Nothobranchius furzeri: one gene and its partner. The protein of the gene in region 2 binds, or shares a complex with, the protein of the main gene of each other region. Links are inferred from orthologs where the notes say so. Each region holds a gene or a part of one and is shown on either strand. Other genes may lie near its edges.

Evidence for each region. Proteins that work in one complex are often made in the same cells at the same time.
Region 1: striatin (region 2) and programmed cell death protein 10-B share a complex: the UniProt entries of both Homo sapiens proteins name them as parts of the core of STRIPAK complex. The link is inferred for Nothobranchius furzeri from reciprocal best matches to the Homo sapiens genes STRN and PDCD10.

The regions. Positions count from the first base shown.
Region 1 is NC_091758.1:24,819,098-24,826,063, forward strand, and holds part of programmed cell death protein 10-B, read right to left. Parts: intron 5,350-6,966; coding exon 5,232-5,349; intron 5,132-5,231; coding exon 5,005-5,131; intron 4,109-5,004; coding exon 4,030-4,108; intron 3,947-4,029; coding exon 3,864-3,946; intron 1-3,863. UniProt on the Homo sapiens protein: Promotes cell proliferation. Modulates apoptotic pathways. Increases mitogen-activated protein kinase activity and STK26 activity. Important for cell migration, and for normal structure and assembly of the Golgi complex.
Region 2 is NC_091752.1:1,674,885-1,681,850, forward strand, and holds part of striatin, read right to left. Parts: intron 5,235-6,966; coding exon 5,091-5,234; intron 5,005-5,090; coding exon 4,868-5,004; intron 4,754-4,867; coding exon 4,578-4,753; intron 4,474-4,577; coding exon 4,426-4,473; intron 4,355-4,425; coding exon 4,233-4,354; intron 2,741-4,232; coding exon 2,573-2,740; intron 2,481-2,572; coding exon 2,340-2,480; intron 1-2,339. UniProt on the Homo sapiens protein: Calmodulin-binding scaffolding protein which is the center of the striatin-interacting phosphatase and kinase (STRIPAK) complexes.

The DNA.
Region 1 (6,966 bases), on a different chromosome or scaffold from region 2:
TCCACCAAAACAAATTTGTTTGTGATCGTTTATATAAGCCCATACTCTCTCGTACTTCATGTACTTTTCAGCTGAGTTCATAATCTGTGCCCCGGTGATTTCAACTCATTGCTGCTGGAGCGCAGCGCATATTAAGCGTTTATTTGTTTATTTATTTATTTATTTTTGCGTTTGGTAGATCCCTTTGGCTGATTAGCTAGAAAGTAGGAAATCTAGGAAACAGATTTTCTGGAAGACGGAGAAAACATGCAGCATGCAGGAAGGTTAGAGAGAGAAAGGGCAGAAAATTATTCAAATAAAATCAAGAAAAAAAAAAGAAAAAAATTAGGTAGATTTATACCCAATACACAGTTTTACTAGTGACAAGCAATAATATATAAGCATTTAATATTTATTCATGTGATAGAAGTCAGTCCCACATCCAGGGCCCTATCAAGGCATTTGGGGACCAAGTCAAATATAGGCTTGGAGCCCCCATCACCTGTCATCACCCCATTTCAGCAGGGACCTGAAAAGGCTCAACAGCCTAATAAAGAAGGCTGGTTCTGTTCTGGGGACGACTGTGGAACCACTGGAGGAGATCATGCAAAGAAGGATTCTCCAGAGAATCAAGAAAATGATGGACAACCCTGAGCATTCTCTTCACAAGACTGTCCGACAACGGAAGAGTGTCTTCAGTCAGAGGCTTCTTCAGTTTCGCTGCAACACTAGGGATGGGTACCGAATTCGGTACTTTTTAAGGTACCGACCGAATTCCATAGTACCGACCGAGCACCGATTCACGTCATTTCAAACGGTGCCTCATTTCGGTACCCGTCCATCCTAACGAGAACTTGCCAAGACAGCTGCGCATGCGCAGGAGCGTTTTGTCGTCGCTTGCTGTGAACCAGTTGTAAACAGAGCAGCATGGTAGAGAGAACGCAGGCTAAAGCTTGGGTCCACTTCACTAAATGTGATGGGTAACTGGATGATGAAACCAGCGACAACTATCTAAATGAGACATCCTCATCTTAATCTGCTCCGGTAGGTAAATATAATTAGCTTGATATATTAGCTTCCGTTTCGCTAATGGTGCGTTCGCTTTCTCCTCGGAACTCCGAATTTCCGACTAGAACAACATGAACGCGCTCTAAAGTTTGGCTTCACTTTACTAAATGTGACGGGTGAAGACGAAACCAGTGACGATCTAAGTGTGAGGCATCATCGTTTTAATCTGCTCCAGCAGCTAAATAAACTGTTTAAGATATCGTTAGCTTGATATGTTAGCTTCCATTGCCACCATTGTTATCAGCTAATGGTGCGTTCGCTTTCTCCTCGGAAATTCTAACTTCCCAGTAGCAAAAATCAAATGAAAAAAGATGGCAAAAGGAATGAAGATACACAGTAAATTTAGTTCACAGTAAAGATGTTTGCTTCAGTTTAATTATGGGCTTATAAAACTACAAGGACAATGTTAAAATACAAACAGTTGTATGTTATCGTGATATTTATCAAATATTGTTATATATTGAGAAAAATATATATTTAATTATAAAAGAGAATTAAAATAATAAACACTCAAAAGTATCGAAAATTGGTACCGTTAAGTACCGGTATCGATTCCTAGGTACCGGTAATTAGTACCGGATCGATTCAAATGTCAAAGGTACCCATCCCTATGCAACACTGACCGCTACTGGAGATCCTTCCTGCCAACAGCCATTGTAATATACAATAACTCTTTGACGACTTGATTATTATTATTATCCTGAGCTACTACAGCAATCAATTTCCCTCTGGGATTAATAAAGTATTTTTGAATTGAATTGAATTTTGAACCTCACTCCCTGCTCAGTTACTATAAGATGGCAGCATGCTGAGAGTACAGATTGTTGTTGCTTTTAATTAATAAACAATCATTTTAAAGCACTGTTATTATATCTGACTGTTTTTAACAGCAATCCTAGCTCAGACACCACATCACTTTCCACATATATGTCATGAGCTCACTGAGCGTCAGATTACCAGATTCATACTGAAGTTGTTTTGCTGAAAGTAGCTTAAAGTAATGCAAAAGTAGTGTAATGCCTTACATTTTCAAATCAGTAATACTGTAATGTAATGAATTACTTTAAAATGAGGGTAACAAGTAGTAAATAATGCATTACCGTTTTGAAGTAACTTGCCCAACACTGGTTACAGCCTGAAGTCTGGAAGACATAGACATCACCAGACGTTGGGTTTCATCCCTGGTGATGCTCTGCCAGGCCTCTACTGCAACAGTCTTCAGTTCCTGCTTGTTCCTGGGGCCTTTTCCCTTCAGTTTTGTCTTCAGCAAGTGCAATGAATGCCCAATCGGATTCAGGTCCGGTGACTGACTCGGCCATTGCAAAACAGTCCACTTCTTTCCCTTCAAAAACTCTTTGGTTGATTTTGCAGTATGCTTTGGGTCATTGTCCATCTGCACTGTGAAGCGCCATCCAATGAGTTCTGAGGCATTTGGCTGAACATGAGCAGATAATATTGCCCGAAACACTTCAGAATTCATCGTGCTGCTTTTGTCAGCAGTCACATCATCAATAAATACAAGAGAACCAGTTCCACTGGCAGCCATACAGTACATACCCACGCCATGACACTTCCAGCACCATGCTTCACTGATGAGGTGGTATGCTTAGGATCATGAGCAGTTCCTTTCTGTCTCCATACTCTTCTCTTCCCATCACTCTGGTACAAGTGGATCTTGGTCTCATCTGTCCATAGGATGTTGTTCCAGAACTGTGAAGGCTTTATTACATGTTGTTTGGCAAACTCTAATCTGGCCTTCCTGTTTTTGGGGCTCACCAATGGTTTAGATCTTGTGGTGAACCCTCACACTGGTGGAGTCTTCTCTTGATTGTTGACTTTGACACAGATACACCTACCTCCTGGAGAGTGTTCGTGATCTGGCCAACTGTTGTGAAGGGTGTTTTCTTCACCAGGGAAAGGATTCTTTGGTCATCCACCACAGTTGTTTTCCCTGGTCTTCCGGGTCTTTTGGTGTTGCTGAGCTCACCGGTGCGTTCCTTCTTTTTGAGAATGTTCCAAACTGTTGTTTTGACCACGCCTAATGTTTTTGCTATCTCTCTGATAGGTTTCTTTTGTTTTTTCAGCCTAATGATGGCTTGCTTCTCTGATAGTGACAGCTCTTTGGATCTCATCTTGACAGTTGACAGCAACAGATTCCAAATGCAAATAGCACACTTGAAATGAACTCTGGACCTTTTATCTGCTCATTGTAATTGGGAGAATGAGGGAATAACACACACCTGGCCATGGAACAGCTGAGAAGCCAATTGTCCCATTACTTTTGGTCCCTGAACAAGTAGGAGGCACATATGCAAAATGTTGTAATCCCTACACCGTTCACCTGATTTGGATGTAAATACCCTCAAATAAAAGCTGACAGTCTGCAGTTAAATCACATCTTGACGATTCATTTGATATCCATTGTGGTGGTGTATAGAGCCAAAAAAAGTTAGCACTGTGTTGATGTCCCAATTTTTATGGACCTGACTGTAAATTTGACCCTTAGAGGTCCCTCGTGCATTTTTCTGTGCAGGCAGTTGTGTTTTTGAATAACTTTAGCTGTGCTGATGCAATTCTTTTTATTTTTTGCTCTGGTGTGTGTTTTGGGGGAAGTTCACTAAAAGTTCACTAAAAATAAAATCAGTCATCAGACATTAATTAGCTAATTCACTAGATTTCCTTTTCTGAACAAGAAAGCTCAACTTAGCAGCATAAACTGGACTGACTCGAGGGTCTAAAGCCAGGTAATGTGTGTTTTACACAATAAACACAAATCTTCTCCTGTTCTCTTCCATACCATCAGGGGTCACACTTACTTTCCGTCTTTGAAGTATGTTTTGAGGGTGTCACTGAAGCTTTTCGAGTACTTCACAAACTCCTTTTTCTGGTGCTCCAGGGGCTTTATGAGCATTAAAAGTAAGGAATGATTAGCAGAAGCAAAGATAAGATTTTAAACATTAACAGACATGCTCCACTACTCACTCTGCGAGTCTGGTACTGGTGTCTCTTAATGGCAGCATTGACCGAGTCCAGGAGGTCTTTTATGGCGCTTGCTATGTCTCTGTGAACAGAATGCAACTTGGATAAGAAACAGAACTTCAAACCAACTACTCAGAATGAAACACGAGGCTCTATGTTTACATAACAATCATTAAAAGTGTTCTGATATCGACTTGGGAAGAACCTCAGAACTGATTTCTCTGATCCACAAGATATTTAAGGTAACTTGTCTCTAGATCAGGGTATTCAATTCTGGGCCTGGAAGGCCGGTATCCAGCATGTTTTTGTGGTTTCTCTGCTCAAACATACTTGATTTAGTGGACGAAGCACCTATGGAGCCTCTATGCCCGGCATTGAATACTCTTGCTCTAGATCAGGGGTGTCAAATATGCGGCCCGCGGGCCGGATGTGTAAACTTTATTTTCATACTTTACAATGTAGAGTTAAAATAAACTTATCTTTGTGAGCAAGTTTTCTCTGTAATGAGTATAAATAAAACAAAGCTGTGCTCAAGGCCCACACAAGAACTTGAGTCACATCCTGAAGTTGGCTGCCACTCGGGATGTGACTTCTGATATTGATGTGCTGGTGAAAGCTAAAAGATGTAAAGTAAAATGAGTCAAATATACTTTAAGTGCTGCATGAAACTGATCTTGCCATGTGATCTGTAAGCTCTTTGGATCACTAAGGAATGTTTTTATTTGTTGATTTTTAAATTTTTTTCAAATTTTCAAGTACACTTCAGGTGTTGTACTTGTACTACACTGTCCTCAGGCTCCAGCCTTGTTTTATATTGACTGTATTAAAACAAAGAAAACAATCTGAAGTATTTTTTAATTTACCGGTCCGGCCCACTTGGGACTAGATTTCCCTCAATGTGGCCCCTGAGCTAAAATGAGTTTGACACCCCTGCTCTAGATGGTTTAAAAACCCGTGTGTTAAGTTGCAGACACTCACTTGATAGTTTGTAGAAAGCGTACTCTGTCATTGATCTCATCTGGGATTTTGCTAAGGATGTGTTTCAGTGCTCTGGCCTTCTCATTTACGTCCTGGAACTCCTGCTCAGGCCTGTCGATCATGAACTCTGCAGGAGAACATTCCCACAGATACATTTATCAACACGCTCAAAAAAACAAACATGAAATTAGGGCGAGAAAACCCAAAACATCGTTTCCTTAACTTACCTTCAACATCATCCGCCGCCATGCGCAGCAGAGATTCAGTGAAGTTGATCTGAACGTTCTTTTTCTCCAAGATCTTCATTATGATGTCCTGTGTGAGACCAGGGTTCTCCCTCTCCGCCTGTAAACGAGGTCAAACATGCATGTAGGGTAGGGGTGTAACGGTTCATGGGGGTTATTCGAACCGCTTCGGTTCGGGCAGTTCAGTTCGGTCCTCTTGCGTAGCGTTTCGGTTTATTTTTTATGTTAAATAATGAATTTTTCACACATTTGCATGATTTAAGTGCAGCAGATAAAAGTTCCTAGGCGAGTTTCCGCACGGACCCTGTATTGAGTGACGCATGGTGGCTGCACGTGCCCGGTCTCCGTTTTTAAAATGTGATCTGCAAATTCTTATCAATGTCTTTCAGAGCGGATCAGACCAGTTGACTGTCGCTGCTACTGTGGAGTCTGTGTAGAGACTCTGAACGGAGCGTTGTGTCGCCTCTCCCTCCCTTCTCTCACAGTGTGCAGACACGCAGAGGCAAACATGTAAACAAACATGTCTGCTGAACTTTTCCGCTGTGACAACTAATGTACAGATTTCATCTTACAATGAAAAATCTGGCGCAGAGGACGCTCGTTATTTAATACGAGTTTTAAAGAAGAAACTCTGGGAGGTGTGAGGCGAGTTTTTAAGAAATAAAAACATGTCTAACACAACACTCGTCTGTATGAGAATGAGCTGTGCAAATCATAGACATAAATACGTAGACGCCCCATTGGGTGCTGGAGAGTGTACCAGTGTCGCCACCATGTTAGATGGGTCTCCTCACTCTCCAAAGTCAGTGTAGAGTGAGCAACTATGCCTGTTTCTGTGCAGCCTAACAAGCAGCGTACTATTGAAAACAGATCATGTGGGATTACTAGTGACTTTTCTAGTCTACCAGATAAGATTTTATATTTAATCTTTTTTTTTATTTAATTATATTTTAATTATGATGCCGTACCTTGTGTTTGATTTTGTGAAAATGCTTGATAAAACATGTTTTTTAGTTGGGTGAGCACCTTGCTCAGTTGAAATGAATGCACTGGGGGCTAATCTATCTAAAATGGCAGTCGGCCATTACGGCATCTCCAAAAGACAGCGCCAGACCACAGGGCATCTACGTATATATGTCTGTGGTGCTAATAACCTGTGAAATAATTAAATACATCATGCTAGATTAGCAGCCTGTGATGACACCTGGTTCTGCTCACTAGGAGCCCCTTCAGATATTAAATAAATAATCTAATAATAATATACCGAAAATTCATCGAACCGAGCTCTTCAAACCACTGAACCGATTACAAGTTTAGTGTACCGTTACACCCCTAATGTAGGATGAGCAATATAAACCTGAAACTATTTCATTACTTTAGTATAAAATTCCTAAAAATAAATAAATTAATAAATAAAAATAAACAAATACAAGAAAGCAACTAAATGATCTCCTACTTCAGGATGCAGTCTCTCCTTTATTAAATTCTTATCTACATGCTGCAAATACACCTGCAGCATTTTGAAGGTGATATATAGAACATAGAGCAACATTGATAAAACGATAAAATCTTTTAGATCAGCACTGTAATGCAAAGATGATTCATTTGATTATCAATTAACAGTAAATTTGAAAATATTTAGTTTTGCTGAATAAAAACCGTGAGGCAAAATGTTTGACTGTGTGGGCTCTGATTCGTTCCATCCATCCTATACAAA
Region 2 (6,966 bases):
TATGATCAATTATAGATTCATAAACGTTCATAATCAATTATAAATAAACGCCAAAAAACTGCCGTGAAGCGCGATAGGAACATAAGTTACTCACGCCGCCCAGACACTTTAGAGCAGGGGTGTCAAACTCATTTTAGCTCAGGGGCCACATCGAGGGAAATCTGGTCCCAAGTGGGCCGGACCGGTAAATAAAAAAAAAAAACTTCAGATTGTTTTCTTTGTTTTAATACAATCAATATAAAACAAGGCTGGAGCCTGAGGACAGTGTAGTAAAAGTACAACACCTGAAGTGTACTTGAAAATTTGAAAAAAAATAAAAAAAACAATAAATAAATAAAAACATTCCTTAGTGATTCAAAGAGCTTACAGATCACATGGCTAGATCAGTTTCATGCAGCACTTAAAGTATATTTGACTCATTTTACTTAACATCTTTTAGCTTTCACCAGCACATCAACATCAGAAGTCACATCCTGAGTGGCGGCCAACTTCAGGATGTGATTCAAGTTCTTGTGTGAGCCTTGAGCGCAGCTTTGTTTTATTTATACTCATTACAGAGGAAACTTGCTCACAAAGATACGTTTATTTTCACTCTACATTGTAAAGTATGAAAACAAAGTTTACACAACCATCTCGCGGGCCGGATTTAACCCGCTTGCGGGCCGGATTCGGCCCTCGGGCCGCGTATTTGACACCCCTGCTTTAGAGGGACGGACCAGCGGAAAAAACAAAACCGCTAACATGGAAGCTTCTTATTAGCTTTAGCCACTGAGCGTGAGATGTACTCATCAGGAGGATTAAAGTAAAGTGTGTAAAACTAAAATCAAATACCACAGCAACACCACCGACTCGCGACAGCACCTTACACAATTCCATCCTGGGTTGGACGACAGGAAGCTGGTGGTCGTTGATCCTAACCAGCCGACACTCGAGGAAGGATTAGCAAAACTTTCCCGCAACTCCGGCCTCTTCAAGAAACTCGGCGTTACTTTGCTGCAGAGCTGAGGCAGCACCAGGGAGGCTTTGGTCGTTTATAAGTGGTGAGTCTGTAACGCCATCACGTGTTTTCACAAAGACTACGTGATGGTGGGACAAAGTGTGTGTGTGTGGGGGGGGGGGGCATCTCTGCGCCCTTTAGCTTGAACCTAACTCGCTTTTTATACAACATGAAGTCTTCACGAGCCGCTCCAAAAGGTGTTTGTTCGTCACAATCCCACATGAGCTGTCAGGGGACGTAAAGACCAGAAGCATCGCTCCTGTTTTCTGACTCTCAGCTGATTTGGTTTTAAAAAAATAACTGACATGTTTGCTTTCATTTTCCACGTTAGATTTCATGCAAACCTACGCAGGGTATGTGTTCGGTCGTACATAAATAATTTAGTGGAGTAAAAAGTATTTGGTAACTTCAATTATTTTGAAAGAATCAAAGGAAAACTAAACAATGGCATATTGCATTGGAGAGAGTGGTAACCATGGTGATCGTTTAATCATCTAAACGGGTCTCTCTCCTACCAAGCGAAATACGAAAAACGTGCGTGTGAATTTTTGCGCTCGTGCGCGTGTCGTGCACAGGCGACCCAGCGACGCGATCCCAGAAAGTTGAAACATTTTCAACTTTTCATCGCTGTCGCTCGGACGAGGACCAATCAACGGAGGTTTCATTCACTGACCAATGAGCGGACAGGATGCTCCGTGCATCTCCGAGCAAACATGGAGGAGACGTTGATACTTGCTGTGACGGGTTTCCCAGAACTGTAGGCTACAACATTTCTACCAAAGAATATAGAGATATTCAGAAAAAGGCTGCGGCGTGGGTCCCTCATTAAATGACGGTACTCTTCGATTCCTTCTCTGGTTTGTAATATGGGATGAAACCATTCTGGGGGGGTGTTTTATAGAAAAATCAGAAGTAAGATTTCACATAACTCTAGCAGCACCTTGTGAAACATCATATCTACCGCTTTATTAACTCTGAACCGCTTAAATAACCTTAATTCCCTCCAACCCGACACAGCCAATCAAAACAACGGAAGTTTTGATTTCGCCATGGAACAGAACGCGTCGACGGCTTCGCCGCTGGCCGCGGGTCGCCTCCCGCGTGTCGAGCCCATTAATCAGCGATGATTGAGTGCGGGTGGGCCAGGAGCCTGAATGCACACACACTGGTTCCAAAAACAACATAAAACAGGATGTTTTGGTTTCACTTTTCAACAACGGTGATTGGTTATTTTGGGTTGATGACGGAGACAAAGAACCTCTGATGTGGAGCAGGAGCTAGAAAAACCTGATGACCTGCTACAAACAACACCAGAACCCAACACGAGGCTTGAAAAACGTACCCGGCTCCAAACCGGACTCCAGACTGAGGACCAGCTGCCGGGTCTCCATGTTAAAGAGGCCGATCTGCCCATTAGTGAAGGACGTGACCAGGTGAGCCGGTTCGCTACACACCAGGTCTACAGAGGAGGGGGTTCCCAGCTCTGGAACAGAAACAACGGTTTTATTCCTGCTTTTAAACCCCTCCCCCAAAAGAGAGGTGAAATTAAAATCCACAAATAAATAAATTCTGTACTTTTGTTTTCATTGAATAATGCAAGGGCCGGAGAGGTGGTGTTGGCGTCCCAGAGCCTCACGGTGCCGTCTGCGGAGCAGGAGAGGAGGCGTTGGTGTGTGCTGCTGTACACCAAACCCCAAACCGAGTCGGTGTGTCCACTCAGCTCGCCACGCAGCACCGCCGGGTCTGTTGCACGGAACACAGAATATATCAGCTTAAACCAGGCGTGTCCAAACAGCAGTTCGGGGGTTGATCGTGGTCCTCAGAGTGGTTTAACATTTCTAGAATGATGACTTTTCCTATCCAACATGCTGTTGTTGTAGATCCAGACTTTCTAACATCTTTATGGTCAGATTTTTACTAACATGCATATTTTGGGAAGCACAAATTAAAACAAGACCATTAAATAATGGTTGCAAGTTTGAAGAATAAAAGAAAATCACATTTTTGTTGTCCAATAGGAAGTGATGTTTTTCAGGAGCAATTTTTACCATAATGCTTGAAATACTAGGGCTGGGCAATAAATCAGATTTATCGTTATAATTTCTGACATTTTTGTTTTTTCCACGTCTCAACATAACACATGTAACAGCCCCATCTAGTGGGCAACTTTTGTTTCTGCGCATATATGTAGTTACCGTCCATTTATCGTTGTTGAGGTGAAATCCTCCATACATGGTGATACTGATGTTAGGCCGTATCTCCCAGCCCTAACGGCAACCATGTGAGACAAGCACAAAAAACCTCACCCGATCATTGTGAACGTCCTGTTCTAAATGACTGCTTCTTGCTCCACCCATCAAGCAGCCATGATAAATGACTCGCACTTGTATAAGCGCCCCTCTGAGTCAGAGGACTCCAAAGTGCTTTACACTACATTGTATCAGAGTAGACAAGGTGGGATAATGATTAAGATCCCATAGTTGTCACACACACAACACACACACACACACACACACACACACACACACACACACACACACACACACACACACACACACACACACACACACACACACACACACACACACACACAGGGTTCAACCCCCCCAATCCAACCCCTGCTGAGTGTCAAGAAGGGAGGCATTGGGTCCCATTCTTATAAAGTCTTTGGTATGACCTGACTGGAATTTGACCTCCGATCTCCCAGTCCCGGGGCAGACACTCCCCCACTAGGCCACTGAGCTGGTCGAGGGTTGAGTGTCTTGCCCAAGGACACAACAGCAGAATTCTCTAGCAGAGATGGGATCGAGCTTGCGAACATCCGATCACTAATCCGCTCTCCCTCCCGAGCTACCGCTGCCCCTAAGCCCTGACCCTTTTGTGAGGTTTTCCCAGATTGCTGGTGCTACCGAGCTGCTGGGATTTTGAAGCCAACAAACCAAGAAAGCTGAAAGCACCTCCTTCTTCTCCATAAAAATGCCACACTACATTAGCTAGCATGCTAACTAGTTAAATGGCTACGTTGGTGCGTTACGTGAAGAATCATGGCAGAAAAGGGGCCAACAGTGGGTCGAAAGTGTAATACTGAACCTTCAGGAACAAGTATCGTGTATATTCAAAAAGTAACGTGAGTGAACGGCACAAAAAAAAACTCCTATTCCACCTTCAATGTGAAAAATGTGGCCCTTGACTTAAAAAGTTGGACTAACTATAGAAACGCAAACAGGAAGTTTACCGTAGGAGTCGTAAGGATCGATGTTGGGGTTGGGAGTGTTCCAACACTGGATGGTGCCGTCTACCCCTCCACTGAAACACTGCTCCCCTGTGCTGCTCATAACAACACTCAGTACAGCTCCCCTGCAACAACAGAACATTTACACCAAACATACCATCCATCAAATCAAGTAAAAACTAAAGGTGAGCTTTACCTGTGAGCTCTGAACGTGTAGATGGGTTCCACATCTAAAGACGTACTCCTGCAGAGAACAAGTTCAACAAACACTTTAAGTCCCTTTAAAACAACCCTGGTGTGTAAAATGTTGCTCTTTCTAAACTCCATCCAGAGAGGAGATGGTCTTACTTTTTAGCGGGAGTGGTCTTCTGAAGGTTCCACATTTTGAGCGTGTGGTCCTCTGAGGCTGTGATGAGGACGGGCTCCACGGGGTGGAAGGTAAGAGCGCGGATCCCGTCGAAATGACTCCTCAGGGTGAACTTGGGGTTCCACGTCTTCCTCATGGCGTCCTTGTTGTTGCCGATCTGAGGATGGAATGTTTTACAGTGGTGTGAGTCGGACATTTTGACGTATTTACATGCTCGAACAAGATTAACGCCAACTATGGTGATGAAGCTGAAAACATTCTCCCCACTCACATCGTAAGCGAGGCTCTCAGCTTCGTTGGCCACTGTAAGTCCTGCCAGATCTCCCAGGCCCAGAACGCTCTCCATCGCCTCATCCGTCCCGATAATGAACGACTTTCCTGAGGTGGGGGGGAAAGTAAGCGCCTCAACTAGAGAAAATAGAATTTAAAAAGTCAAAACAGCTAAAAAAATAGTGTTTTTTTATTAACGGTTAATTAAAAAAAAATAAAGGTACCTTCTTCCGTCCGGTTCCCCTCGTGTTCGTTGAAGCGAGCCACATTGGGCCGGGACTGCGGGGCGGACGGAGGCTGCATGTGAGACAAGTCCTCTACATCTCTCAGGTTAGCCAGCATGTCTTGCAGCTTGGACCGGTTGGGTCCTGTTAACAGGTCCGGTTACAAGTTAACACAGCGGACTCACAGTGGAGGCGAGTGGAAAAAAGAAACCAGAAAACTGCAAACAGGCAGCGAAACAGAATGAATATGGAGGGGAAGCAGCACCCAAAGGAAGAAAAACGTATCTAATAACCAAAGCTGGAGATAGGAGAGTCACCAAAGCTGGAGATAGGAGAGTCACCAAAGCTGGAGATAGGAGGGTCAGCAGAGTCCTGTGAGGTAGAACAAGTGTTCAGGCACGTTTATCGGTTAGTGTGAACTGTGTGGAGAGACTTGGTGAAAAAGACTCACGCCAGGATGAAGTTTCAACTAGAAGTTTATTAAATCTAAGAAAAACTTTAAGTCAGTCAACTAATCGCCTTTACTTACATGTCCACTATGTAAGAATGAAGAAAGAATGACATCCTGTGGTCAAAACGCGGATACTGCGGCCCATTTTCCTGTAATCGGAAGGTTGCAGGTGCAAGACACTATAAAGTAGCTTTCCGGAGGTTTCCCCTTTCAGAAATGATGTATGATTATTCAGAAACCCGTACAAGTGATTGTTTTATCATGTACTGAGTGTAGAGGGGTAAATAGTGTTGCTTTTCACGTTACGTGTGATATAATGTAAGCAAAACTTCTTCTTTTATTTATTTTTTTTGCTAAGCACGGCCCCTGCCCCACAGAGCTCCACGCAATAGCAAACATAGGGCCGACCAGAACTAACCAATGGCGTTAAACTACCGCTTACCTGCTTCAATTTTAAGGAATACCTCGGCTGATGCAGAGTTGATGAACTTTTCACGGACAAGAAAGTCTCTAAAATATAAATATACGAGAACACAACATGACATGAGAATAATACTCGTAAAACTGCATGTTTTAGCTCCGTTTGTCAGCTACAGAAACCCATTCATAAACAGGAAACGTGAGGTCGCCATCTTAAAAAAACAGATCCAGAGACCCCAAGAAGGCGCTATAGGGAGCCTAAGTCTACTTCCGCATCGTGGGTCTCTAGAAGAACGAAAAAATGAATGAATACAAGTCAACAGGGCTAAAAACGCTATTTTCTAATTCGCTTTGCCGTACGCCCTGGATCGCTCATATGTCGTACTGCATTTTAAATGAAAAGTAATGATGGGTGTTTCAACCACGCCAGTCACGTACTTTTGAGTTTGATTAGCTTGTAAAGGTTCGTAATTAGCATGACTACAAACCAGAAATCGGCAAGTCGCATATGTGGTGACATCACCACATAATCTCCTCTCCCCAAAGTGGCTGCTACTTACCAAATGACCAGATTTATGGTTGTTCTTTCCTCCTGTGGGAAGTTTGCTGAACTTACAGCCCTTTTCACTCAGTTTTCTCCCGTGTCTGGTTCGTTGACGTCAATTTCATGAAGCGCGTTTGTAGTCCTGGACTTATTTTCACACAAAACCTAAAATAGAGCGCGTGCGAACCCCCCCCCCCCCTTTCTTCCAACATGATGAGACATTCGACTGTTTTACAATTATTTCACTGTAAAATTCTTACATATTGCTCCTTTAATGTTTACTAGTGCCTCAAAAGAGAAATAGTTAGCACGTAGCGATCAATAACAGAAAGAAACAAAAAAATCTTTTATATAGCGTCTATCAAGATAAAATTCACAAGGTGCTTCACAAGAACAATTTTTTTTAATAAAAAGTTTTTTTTAATTATTATTTAAAAATATAAAAGTGAAAAAAATAGTCA